Callithrix jacchus: one gene and its partners. The protein of the gene in region 2 interacts with the protein of the main gene of each other region in a pairwise test. Links are inferred from orthologs where the notes say so. Each region holds a gene or a part of one and is shown on either strand. Other genes may lie near its edges.

Region 1 (3,649 bases), on a different chromosome or scaffold from region 2:
ATAGAGCTGAGTGTAAACATGCACCCTTACAAGGGAGCAGTAATGAAATTACAGTCAGCAAATACTTCTAAGTCCAAAGTACTTCAGTGCTACCCACCCAGGCCACCAGCTGGACACAGTCACCCCCGGCCAGACACAGGCCGCCCAGCTGAAGGCCAATCTCCTACTGTCCCTTGCAGCCGGGAGAGGTCACGTGACTAGGATCTGGCACATAGGGTGATGACGTTAGTGGTGCAGTGCCACTTGAGGACTGCTCTCTTAGAACGATGGGTGTTTGCTCCCTTTGCCCTCCCTCTTCCTGCTGGCTGGGATGCAGGTGCAATAGCAGGAGATGAAGCAGCCCCCCAGGACTGAGGGGTGGAAGCCATGGGAGGAAAAGGGCATAGCCTCCAGGCCTGGGCACGTCACTGGGCCCAACCACGTAGCATTTCCAGTCCTTTTGTGGTAAGGATCATCTCAGGGAGGGACACAGCACCGACACAGCCTCTGAGCAACAGAGCTGGGACTCAGGCCAGACACAGAGGCCCAGGCACTCTACCTCAGCAGCAGGTGTTAAGCAGAAGGGACGGCCTGGAGCTGTTACAGGCATCTGAAGTACCTCACTGAGACAACCAGATGAAAAACTGTCAATGCAGAGGTGAGCAGAGAGGGGAGGAATTCATGTTAACTTCATTTTTATGCTGAAGTGTAAGATCACAAAAGAGAGAGGAGGGAGGCCGGGCGCGGTGGCTCACACCTGTAATCCCAGCACTTTGGGAAGCCGAGGCAGGTGTATCACAAGGTCAAGAGATCGAGACCATCCTGGTCAACATGGTGAAACCCTGTCTCTACTAAAAATACAAAAAATTAGCTGGGCACGGTGGCGCGTGCCTGTAATCCCAGCTACTCCGGAGGCTGAGGCAGAATTGCTTGAACCCAGGAGGCGGTGGTTGCGGTGAGCTGAGATCACGCCATTGCACTCCAGCCTGGGTAACAACAGCAAAAACTCCATCTCAAAAAAAAAGAGAGAGAGAGAGAGAGAGAGGAGGGAACTGATAAAAGAATGAGGAACCTGAGCATGAGAACTGGAACCAACAACTTTAACGGAAAGGGGAAGGCAGCCAAATAGGAGCAAGTAAGACCCGAGACTGAGGTGAGGCTGACACAGAGAGTATGGAAGAAAATTTAAACTGTGTATGCTGCTTGGATGGGCGCAGTGGCTCACGCCTGTAGTCCCAGCACTTTGGGAGGCGGAGGCTGGTGGATCACCTGAGGTCAGGAGTTCAAGACCAACCCGGCCAACGTGGAGAAACCACGACTCTACTAAAAATAGAAAAGTTAGCCGGGCTGGTGGCGTACTCTCATAGTCTCAGCTATTGGGGAGGCTGAGGCAGGAGAATCGCTCGAACTCAAGGGGCAAAAGTTGCATTAAGCTATGATCACACCACTGCACTCCAACCTAGGTGACAGAGAGCGAGACTCCACCTCAAAAATAAATAAACACAAATAACTATATATGCACCAAATAATACATATACAAAGTGTAACTGACAGAACTACAAGAAGAAACACGCAAAGTCCATAATCACAGCAAGAATTTAAAATATCACTACAGATAAAACAGCGTGATTATAAGGTTGATGTAATAACCTACAGAGAACACTGTACTTGATGACACCATTCTTTTCCAAATTGCATATACTGGGGCATAAGATAAAACAAATTTCAAAAGGTAGAATCATATAGAAGCCATTCTCTGACCATGGTGTAATTAAGCCAGAAAAACAGTAACACAACGGTGACTAAGGAAGTCCTATATATTTGGAAATTATGCCGAGCACAGTGGCTCACACCTGCAGTCCCAGCACTTTGGGAGTAGGTGAATCACTTCAGCCCAGGTGTTCTAGACAAGCCTAGGCAACATGTCAAAACCCTATCTCTACAAAAATTAATGGGGCATGTTTGTGTGTGCCTGTAGCCCCCACTATTCAGGAGGCTGAGGTAGGAAGATCACCTGAGCCTGGGGAGTTGGAGGCTGCAGTGAGCCACAACTGCACCACTGCACTCCAGCCTGGGCAACATACCAAGACCTCGTCTCAAAATAAATAAATAAGAAAAGATTACAAATTGGGAAATATTTTACAGTGAATGACAATAAAAAAGATTGCCACATCAAAACTTGTGGGTACAGCTAAGGCTGTACTTAGAGGGAAATACATAGCCTTAGGTACATACATTGAAAAAGAAAGGGACAAGATCCACAGGAAGGTATAAGACAGCAGGATGGAACAGACAGGCCCAACTTACCTCATCACCTCAATGTAGCCCTTGGCAGCGGCCACGTGCAGGGCAGAGGCGCCTGTGCGGGGGTGCCGGGCCTCTGGCATGGCGCCCCCATTCAGCCAGCACCTTGTGTCATGAAGCAGCAACTCCTCTTCTGCACGCTTGGCTGCCTCCACGTCCACACCTAGGAGGATAAGAGGTATTAGGTAGGACTCACACCCCATGACCTGGAAGACCCAGGGTTATACCCTGGGCTGGCCGGGGTTGAGCCCTGTGACTTGCTGACTCCTTCTCCCCCTGCTCCCCTGTGAGACTCAGGAGGCCTAGACTCGCCCAGCTGTTTCCCAGCTGTGCTCCATGCAGTCCTGGGTCCCACTCAGGGTCCCACTCAGGGTCTCTGAGTCAGCACTAAGCACAGGGAAAATGGAGATCACAGGCCTTTTCCACTTCAACCAGAAATTCACCTTCTTTTTATTATTTTTAATAAAAAGCTAAAGTTTACTGAGCAAATCCAGTGTTCAATTACATCTAACTTTTCCTATCACTACCAATTTTTTTTTTTTTTTTGAAACAGAGTCTCACTCTGTCACCCAGCCTGGAGTCCAGGGGTTCAATCTCAGTGCAACTGCTGCCTCCCAGATTCAAGAGATCCACCCAAGTAGCTGAGATTACACACATACGTCACCACGGCCGGCTAATTTTGGTATTTTTGGTATAGGCAGGGCTGCACCACAATTTTGGTTGGGCAGGCTGGTCAAACTCCTGACCTCAGGTGGTCTACCCGCCTCAGCCTCCCAAAGTGTGTTGGCATTACAGGCGTGAGCCACCATGCCTGCCCAATATCATCTCAATCTAGCATCTTCATACATTTTATTACCATCACTACTTTTCTCACTCATGACAATAAACCAAGCGAAAGCCACCACATGAAGTACTTGTGCCATTAGGGCAACAGCTTCTTTCCTACCCAGGCGTTTGATCCCTGTTTGCAAACGTGCTAACACCTACAGCAATCTGGGAAAAGCACGCTTCCTAACTAGTCCGATTCATTTAATCCCGTTGCTGTACTGTATTATAGATGTAAAAGACAAGTAATGGCCAAAATTAAATATAAGTTGACTTTGGATCAAAACAGGTGCCCTTGCTGAGGCGGAAGTCCTTATCTACTGGTGGCCACTGAGGATCCTTACTCTTTTGCAAACTATAAACTTTTTTTTTTTTTTAGATGGACTTTCACTGCAACCTCCACCCCCAGGGTTCAAGCGATTCTCCTGCCTCGGCCTCCCAAGTAGCTGGGACTACAGGCACCCACCATCACATCCAGCTAATTTTTGTATTTTTAGTAGAAATGGGGTTGCACCATGTTGGTCAGGCTGGTCTTAAACTC
Region 2 (3,649 bases):
CTAACAACAACCTCCTTCTGGAGACACTGCATACTCCACAGGGGCTTCCACAAAGTCACGCATTATCTAGGAGTGGGCTATTAGACGGAAGCTGTGGGGATGTGCAGCACAAAAGAAATAGAAAAAGCTATGACTAAAATCCAGAATATCCTGTTATCTTGAAGGAGAAATGCCAGTTTCTCTGGTGGAGTCTACTCAGTGCCCCACTAGGAAACACAAGATCTTTTGTGTGCTCCAGATCTGTACTGCCACATAGTTTATGACCACAGTTTATTAAAAAGTGGCCATCAAAAAATAAGTATGAAGTTTCATATAATGAACACAATTCAATTTTCCTGAATAGCACAGGAGACTTTCTAATGACAGACTATACAAATGAAAAAACCCTTAGAGATCACCTATTTAACAAATGAGAAATAAAGAAACGGAGGCTAAGATTAGCTGACTAGCTTAAGGGGTGGACTACAAGTAAAGCAAGATGCCACACTTCGAAATTATTTGTACAGGCCAGGCACAATGGCTCACGCTTATAATCCCAGCATTTTGAGAAGCCTAGGCAGGTAGATCACCTGAGGTGAGAAGTTCATGACCAGCCTGACCAACACGGTGAAACCTCAGCTCTACTAAAAATGTAAAAATTAACCAGGCATGATGGCATGCACCTGTAATCCCAGCTACTTGGCAGGCTGAGGCTGAAGAATTGCTTGAACCCCGGAGGCAGAGGCTGCAGTGAGCCAAGATCGCACCACTGCACTCAGGGGTGACAGAACAAGACTCCATCTCAAATAATAAAAAAAAAATTATCTGTACAGCTGTTAGCAGAAGAGCTGAAATTAGACTCCACAATTCTCAGGTCACTGCTTTCTCTAACAACCAGATGGCTCTCACACTGCACTGTGAGGTGGTCATGGGTCTGAAGGGCACCCCAACCTCATGACCACTGCTGCTTAGGGCTTAAGCCACAAAACCCGCTTCAACTGGAACTGCACCTACATTACTTCTTGTATTTAATTCCCTTAAAATTTTCATTTGAACAAGCTATTCTAGGGCTAAAAAGACCAAAAACTCCTGAATGGTACCACCTTGCATCTTTCCTAAACACAAGTTAAAGATGTGTTCCTGGTTAAAAGCAAATTCAGCAAAAAGTCAATTTTTATCATAAACAGGAAAAACAAAACCAAAATCAAAACCAGCTTTGTGTCTGTCCAACCCTCCAGCACACAAACCTTCCTGCGGCCATGGCCATGTACTATGTCTGCACCATCCAACATGGTCACCACTTGGATGTGGTCACTGAGCACTTGAAAAGAGACTAGTGAGTTTAAACTACATTCAGCTGTCTCACCGGCTACATTTCTGCTACAGGCAGCATCTGGCAGACACAACACAGCATAGAACAAAGCCTTCGTGTGATGCCGCTTCACAGAACAGCTGCTTCACAGGATCAAAGTCAACAGCACAGAACATCCTCTTAACCAAAATGTTTGCCAAGCCCAGAACGGTTTTAAAAAAAAAAATCCACAAGCCTCACCTGAACATCAATCTTACAGTAAACTTTTATATGGGGGCAAACAAACGTCTACTTGTAGTTAGAATGAACCTGAGTTTTTTAGATCCAAGGTTTAGAACCGTGACCTTAAAGCAGATGGCCCACTTTATCAGGAAAAAAGGTATCACCAACCCTTTTGGAGACACTACGTCAGCTGATTCATATAAGCTAATTTATTTGCAAATGTTATGAAGGCAAATGTAAACAGTTATCAGGTTCTGTGTCTGTCTAGAGATGATCATCAAAATCAAAATGAATCAAACCTTCTACTCGAAGGCTTGTTGTTGTGAACAAGCCCCATCATTACACTGGAACACGCTCCATGTGACTGAGGCAGGCACTGTGTGACCCCACACACCAAGAGTCTCCCACAGCCTGAATGTCCTTAGTTTCAAACAAGTTGCATCTACTGAAAGAGCTGGCAACGCTTCGCACTGTTTCTCAAGTTCTTAGATTAGAACATTAAATCGTTACCCCATGTTAGCGAGGAAGGAGTTGCTAGGCCCAGTTGGAGATCTCGGTCTGTCTTGTTCTTCATACATAGGGGGAGGAATGGCAGCTTTGGAAGACTGTGATCGAGGTCTTGAGTCCTCTTCATAAGGAAAATCTCGGGGTACTATTGGAGCAAAAGTAGGCTCACCAAAATACCATAGAAAACACTTTGAAATCTCACTTCTATCAATTACTTATCTTGAAAAAATTCAACCTATTTTTCTGGTTTACCACAAGGAGAAAAACAACAAATCAACTTTACAGCCTTTACGTGACTTTTTTTTTTTTTTAAAGAAGAGGGAGAACACTACTTTCCTGATTCTAACTTTGCTTTTGCTATTTCTATCTCCTCAAATAGGAGATAGAAATAGCAAAAGCACCCTTTTTATATCTTATTGAAATGTTATTTACCCTTTAAAATCTTGAATGAATATTCTTGTGGCAAGAGCTTCTGAATGGCCCACGGAGATACAATCTGGCCATCTTTTGACTCCCGCAGCACCTTGTGCACCTGTCTAGACCCTAACCTCACTATACCATCAGCCTCATGGCCCACAAAGGTCTCTGAGGTTAGCGGCCAGTGGTGGCATCAACTCTAGTTACATGAAAGTCAGCAAGAAGCTTTAAGACCATCCAGATGCCTGGGCCCCACTCCCAGAGACTGCTTTCAATTGGGGTTTATTGTTTGTCGGTTGTGTTCACATAACAGATATTTCATAATATTTTAGAAAGCATCTTCTTTAAAAGAGAAATAATGCAACAAGTTTTAGAAAGTACTATAAATCAGAGTATCTGCTTGGGATAGTTTAGGTATGGTCCAATCCAGAGAATGGGAAAATGACCTAGATGATATTCAGAAGTCCAATTCCAACCTCAGAATTTTAGAGCAGATCACTGCAAGAAGGAACAGTGGATGAGGGTGTTTTGGCAATGCAATGACAGGGACACCGACCTGCACTGAAAGGGAAGCTAAGGGAAGAAAAAAAATCTAATCAAGGAAGGCACTGCCACCTTGTGGAGGGCCATGAATATAACAGCCTGTAAACCCCTGAGTTCAAAAACTGTAAATGATCTACACTGTTTTAACTCCAAATGAATCTAACAACAAATAAGAAATGTTAATGAAAACAAAGTGAATTGCATAAAAAAGACATGGATCCCACTCTTTTTATCCAGAGCCTGGCATAAAAAGGTCTCTGCAGGAGGGCACTGCATTCTGAGATCCATGTGCACTCAGGTAGGTAGGTAGGTAGGTAGGTAGGTAGGTAGGTAGGTAGGCAGGCAGGCAGGCAGGCAGGCAGCAGGCAGGCCATTTCCGTCTACACTCAGCAAACCTGGGGGCCCAAGCTGAGATTCCACATGATTTGCTTAAAGATCTGTATCAGAATAAAAGAGGAAGAAACAGATCTACTTACACTCTTTGTCTTTCTCTACCAGAGAAGTGGGTGGGGCAATGGCAGCTCCGCCCATACCTGCAAAAACACAAATCCAAGCATTAAAGGAGGTTTCTGATGCCAGACTCCCAACGACAATGACACCATATATCACCTGCCCCTTAGAAAAAACTAAAAAACAAAAAAAGGATGCTACTTCATCCCTCCTACTACA
Region 3 (3,649 bases), on a different chromosome or scaffold from region 2:
ACAGTGGTTCATGTTTGTAATCCCAGCACTTCGGGAGGCCCAGGCGGACAGATCACAAAGTTGAGAGTTTGAGACCAGCCTATCCAACATAGTGAAACCCTGTTTCTACTAAAAATACAAAAAAATTAGTCAGGTGTGGCATGAGTCTGCAGTCCCAGTTACTCGGGAGGCTGAGGTGGGAGAATCACTTGAACCTAGGAGGCAGAGGTTGCAGTGAGCCAAGACTGCGCTATTCCACTCCAGCCTATGTAACAGAGTAAGACTCCGTCTCAAAAAACAGAACCAAATTTTTGTTTCTGGTTTTTGTTTTTGTTTTTTTTTCGAGATGGAGTCTTACTCTGTTGCCCAGGCTGGAGTGCAACGGCGCGATATCCACTTACTGCAACCTCTGCTTCCCTGGATCAAGCATTCTGCCTCAGCCTCCTGAGTAGCTGGTATTATAGGTACAAGCCACCATGCCTAGCTAACTTTTTTGTATTTTCAGTAGAGATGGGGTTTTACCATGTTGGTCAGGCTGGATCCTGACCTTGTGATCTGCCCACCTTGGCTTCCCAAAGTGCTGGGATTACAGGCATGAGCCACTGTGCCCAGCCCGTATTTTCTTATTAGACCCCAGCATGTCTGTAATCCCAGCTATACAGGAGGCTTGAGGCAGGAGAATGGCTAGAACTCGGGAGGTGGAGGTTGCAGTGAGCTGAGATCACGCCACTGCATTCCAGCCTGAATGCAACAGAGCAACTCTGTCTCAAAAAAAAAAAAAAAAAAAAAGTTTTTATATTTCCTTTTTAGACCCCAGTTAATTATTGTGCTTTCTGTGGTGGATATATGTCAATGTGATTGTAATGTGATGCTGGATAATTCTGCATTTAGTTTTGCATATTGTGGCCTCCTCAAAAGCCTTGCATATGCCAGTGTTTTCTCACATTGTGCAGGGCCGTTGTGTGGGATCTCTTTCTTTCCTTGGGTGCTGGACTTTCAGTGATGGCTGGTTCACTCACTGATGAATCTTGTTGCTTACAGGTCCAGGTGCAGGTACAGCAGTCTCCGCAACAGGTCTCGGCTCAGCAGCTTTCCCCACAACTCACCGTTCACCAGCCTGCTGAGCAACCCATCCAGGTCCAGGTGCAGATCCAAGGCCAGGCACCACAGTCAGCAGCCCCCTCCATTCAGACCCCGTCTCTGCAGAGTCCCAGTCCCTCGCAGCTGCAAGCAGCTCAGATCCAGGTGCAGCACGTGCAAGCGGCCCAGCAGATCCAGGCTGCAGAAATCCCGGAGGAGCACATCCCACATCAGCAAATCCAGGCTCAGCTGGTGGCTGGCCAGTCTCTTGCTGGTGGTCAGCAGATCCAAATCCAGACCGTGGGTGCCCTTTCCCCACCACCATCCCAGCAGGGCTCACCCCGGGAAGGGGAGCGGCGGGTTGGCACAGCCAGTGTCCTCCAGCCAGTGAAGAAGCGCAAAGTGGACATGCCCATCACTGTGTCCTACGCCATCTCAGGGCAGCCGGTGGCCACCGTGCTGGCCATTCCACAGGGCCAGCAGCAGAGTTATGTGTCTTTGAGGCCAGACTTGCTGACAGTAGACAGTGCCCACCTGTACAGTGCCACTGGGACCATTACTAGCCCTACAGGAGAAACCTGGACCATCCCTGTTTATTCTGCCCAGCCCCGGGGGGACCCTCAGCAGCAGAGCATTACCCACATTGCCATTCCCCAGGAAGCCTACAACGCAGTTCATGTCAGTGGCTCACCCACGGCCCTGGCAGCTGTAAAGCTGGAGGATGACAAGGAGAAGATGGTGGGCACCACATCTGTAGTAAAAAACTCCCATGAAGAGGTAGTGCAGACCCTTGCAAACTCTCTCTTTCCAGCACAGTTCATGAATGGCAACATCCACATTCCAGTGGCTGTGCAGGCTGTGGCAGGCACGTACCAGAATACGGCTCAAACTGTCCATATATGGGACCCCCAACAGCAGCCGCAGCAGCAAACTCCCCAGGAACAGACGCCACCACCACAGCAACAGCAGCAGCAGCTCCAAGTTACTTGTTCAGTAAGTGAAGACTTACCAGGAGGACAGGCAGTCTGTTCCCTCAGGGCCCAGTGCAGCACAGAGCTTGCCTGGTAACCTCTGGCTTCTTTACTGCTATTAGTTTTACAGTGATACAGTATTTAATATTTGGGAGAAGAGGGCGAGAAACAGCAGGCTATACAACAGGAAAAAGGTTTATCCTGGTACCTAGAGGTAAATGAGATGGCCAGGAATTGCTTTGGAGTTTTGGAGAGGTTTTGGGTTTAGGTATTATGGACACTTCTTTGTAATTTTTTCTCAGGAAGAGTAAAGTTACAGGTATAGATGAATGGGACACCCAAAGTGTGTCCCAGGAGCTGCTTCCTTGTATCATAAGTAAATGGTTCTAGCAAAACACTTGTAGTTTATCAATAGATTACAAACTCATCATTGGAGAAGCTGTGAGATTGTTCTGTTTTTCATCTTTGGGCACACAGTGTGGGTGAATTAGAAAATCTGAAATACCTCTTAATGAGCCTGTTAAAAGTGATCACTGTTGGGAATCTTGAATATGCCACCTATGTGGTAGGACCTCCCAAGAGTGTTACTGTGTTACTTGAAAACAGGCCAGGCCCAGTGGCCACACATGTAATCCTAGCACTTTGGGAGGCTGAGGCGGGCAAATCACCTGAGGTCAGGAGTTTGAGACCATCTTGGTCAACATGGTCAAACCCCGTCTCTTCTAAAAATATAAAAATTAGCCAGGTGTGGTGGTGCATGCCTGTAATCCCAGCTACTCGGGAGGCTGAAGCAGGAGAATTGCTTGAACCCAGGAGGCGGGAGATTGTGATGAGCCAAGGTTGAGGTGAGCCAAGATCACACCACTGCACTCTAACCTGGGGCAACAGAGCAAGATTCTGTCTCAAAACAAACAAAACCTATTAGTGCTGGGTTCTGTGACAGTTGCCTATAATCCCAGCAGTTTGGGAGGCTAAGGTGGGAGGATTCCTTTAGCCCAAGAGTTTGAGATCAGCCTGGGCAATATAGGGAGACCCTATCTGCAAAAAATTAAAAAATATACTCGAGTGTGGTGGCATACACCTGTGGTCCCAGCTTAGATGGGAGGATTGAGCCTGGGAGGTTGAGGCTGCTATGATCATGCAACTGCATTTCAGCCTGGAGGAAAGAGTGAGACCTTGTCTAACAAAAAACAATTGGTGGAATATCTGGTCCCATTAGAGTGGGATATAGGGCCTCTGGTCTTATGGGACTGATGAAGGTGGTGTGCCTCAGTGGGCAAAGGCTCCTGGGAATGCATGTGTGGGAGCTGGCACAAACAAGTTAGATAAGGGACTACACTTAGAAACACGGGCTCTAAGTGATTAAGCAAAGGTTGACCAGGTGTTTTCATAGAGGCAACATTTTATTATCCTAAGTGATATTAAGGACCTGCTAAATATGTAGCTGTTGGGCCTAGAAATAGAACAAGACAAGAGTTTTTGCTTCATACAGCTAAGAGTTGTGAAAGTCAGACTTGATTTCTATTCCTTTAAATTATTTATAAGGCAGAATATTTATGACATACAAAGACAAACTGGGAATTTAGAAACTCTAGGTTAAAAAGGAAACAGCGGTGTCT

What was found.
Region 1: the proteins of RBM17 (region 2) and PPP1R12C interact in binary tests that used the Homo sapiens proteins (3 or more experiments, as listed by UniProt). The two-hybrid records come from large-scale screens. The link is inferred for Callithrix jacchus from reciprocal best matches to the Homo sapiens genes RBM17 and PPP1R12C.
Region 3: the proteins of RBM17 (region 2) and QRICH1 interact in binary tests that used the Homo sapiens proteins (3 or more experiments, as listed by UniProt). The two-hybrid records come from large-scale screens. The link is inferred for Callithrix jacchus from reciprocal best matches to the Homo sapiens genes RBM17 and QRICH1.

The regions. Positions count from the first base shown.
Region 1 is NC_133523.1:47,965,871-47,969,519, forward strand, and holds part of PPP1R12C (protein phosphatase 1 regulatory subunit 12C), read right to left. Parts: intron 2,447-3,649; coding exon 2,287-2,446; intron 624-2,286; coding exon of another isoform or gene 539-623; intron 1-538. UniProt on the Homo sapiens protein: Regulates myosin phosphatase activity.
Region 2 is NC_133508.1:7,685,001-7,688,649, forward strand, and holds part of RBM17 (splicing factor 45), read right to left. Parts: intron 3,514-3,649; coding exon 3,457-3,513; intron 2,166-3,456; coding exon 2,024-2,165; intron 1-2,023. UniProt on the Homo sapiens protein: Splice factor that binds to the single-stranded 3'AG at the exon/intron border and promotes its utilization in the second catalytic step. Involved in the regulation of alternative splicing and the utilization of cryptic splice sites.
Region 3 is NC_133516.1:31,687,054-31,690,702, reverse strand, and holds part of QRICH1 (transcriptional regulator QRICH1), read left to right. Parts: intron 1-1,020; coding exon 1,021-2,052; intron 2,053-3,649. UniProt on the Homo sapiens protein: Transcriptional regulator that acts as a mediator of the integrated stress response (ISR) through transcriptional control of protein homeostasis under conditions of ER stress.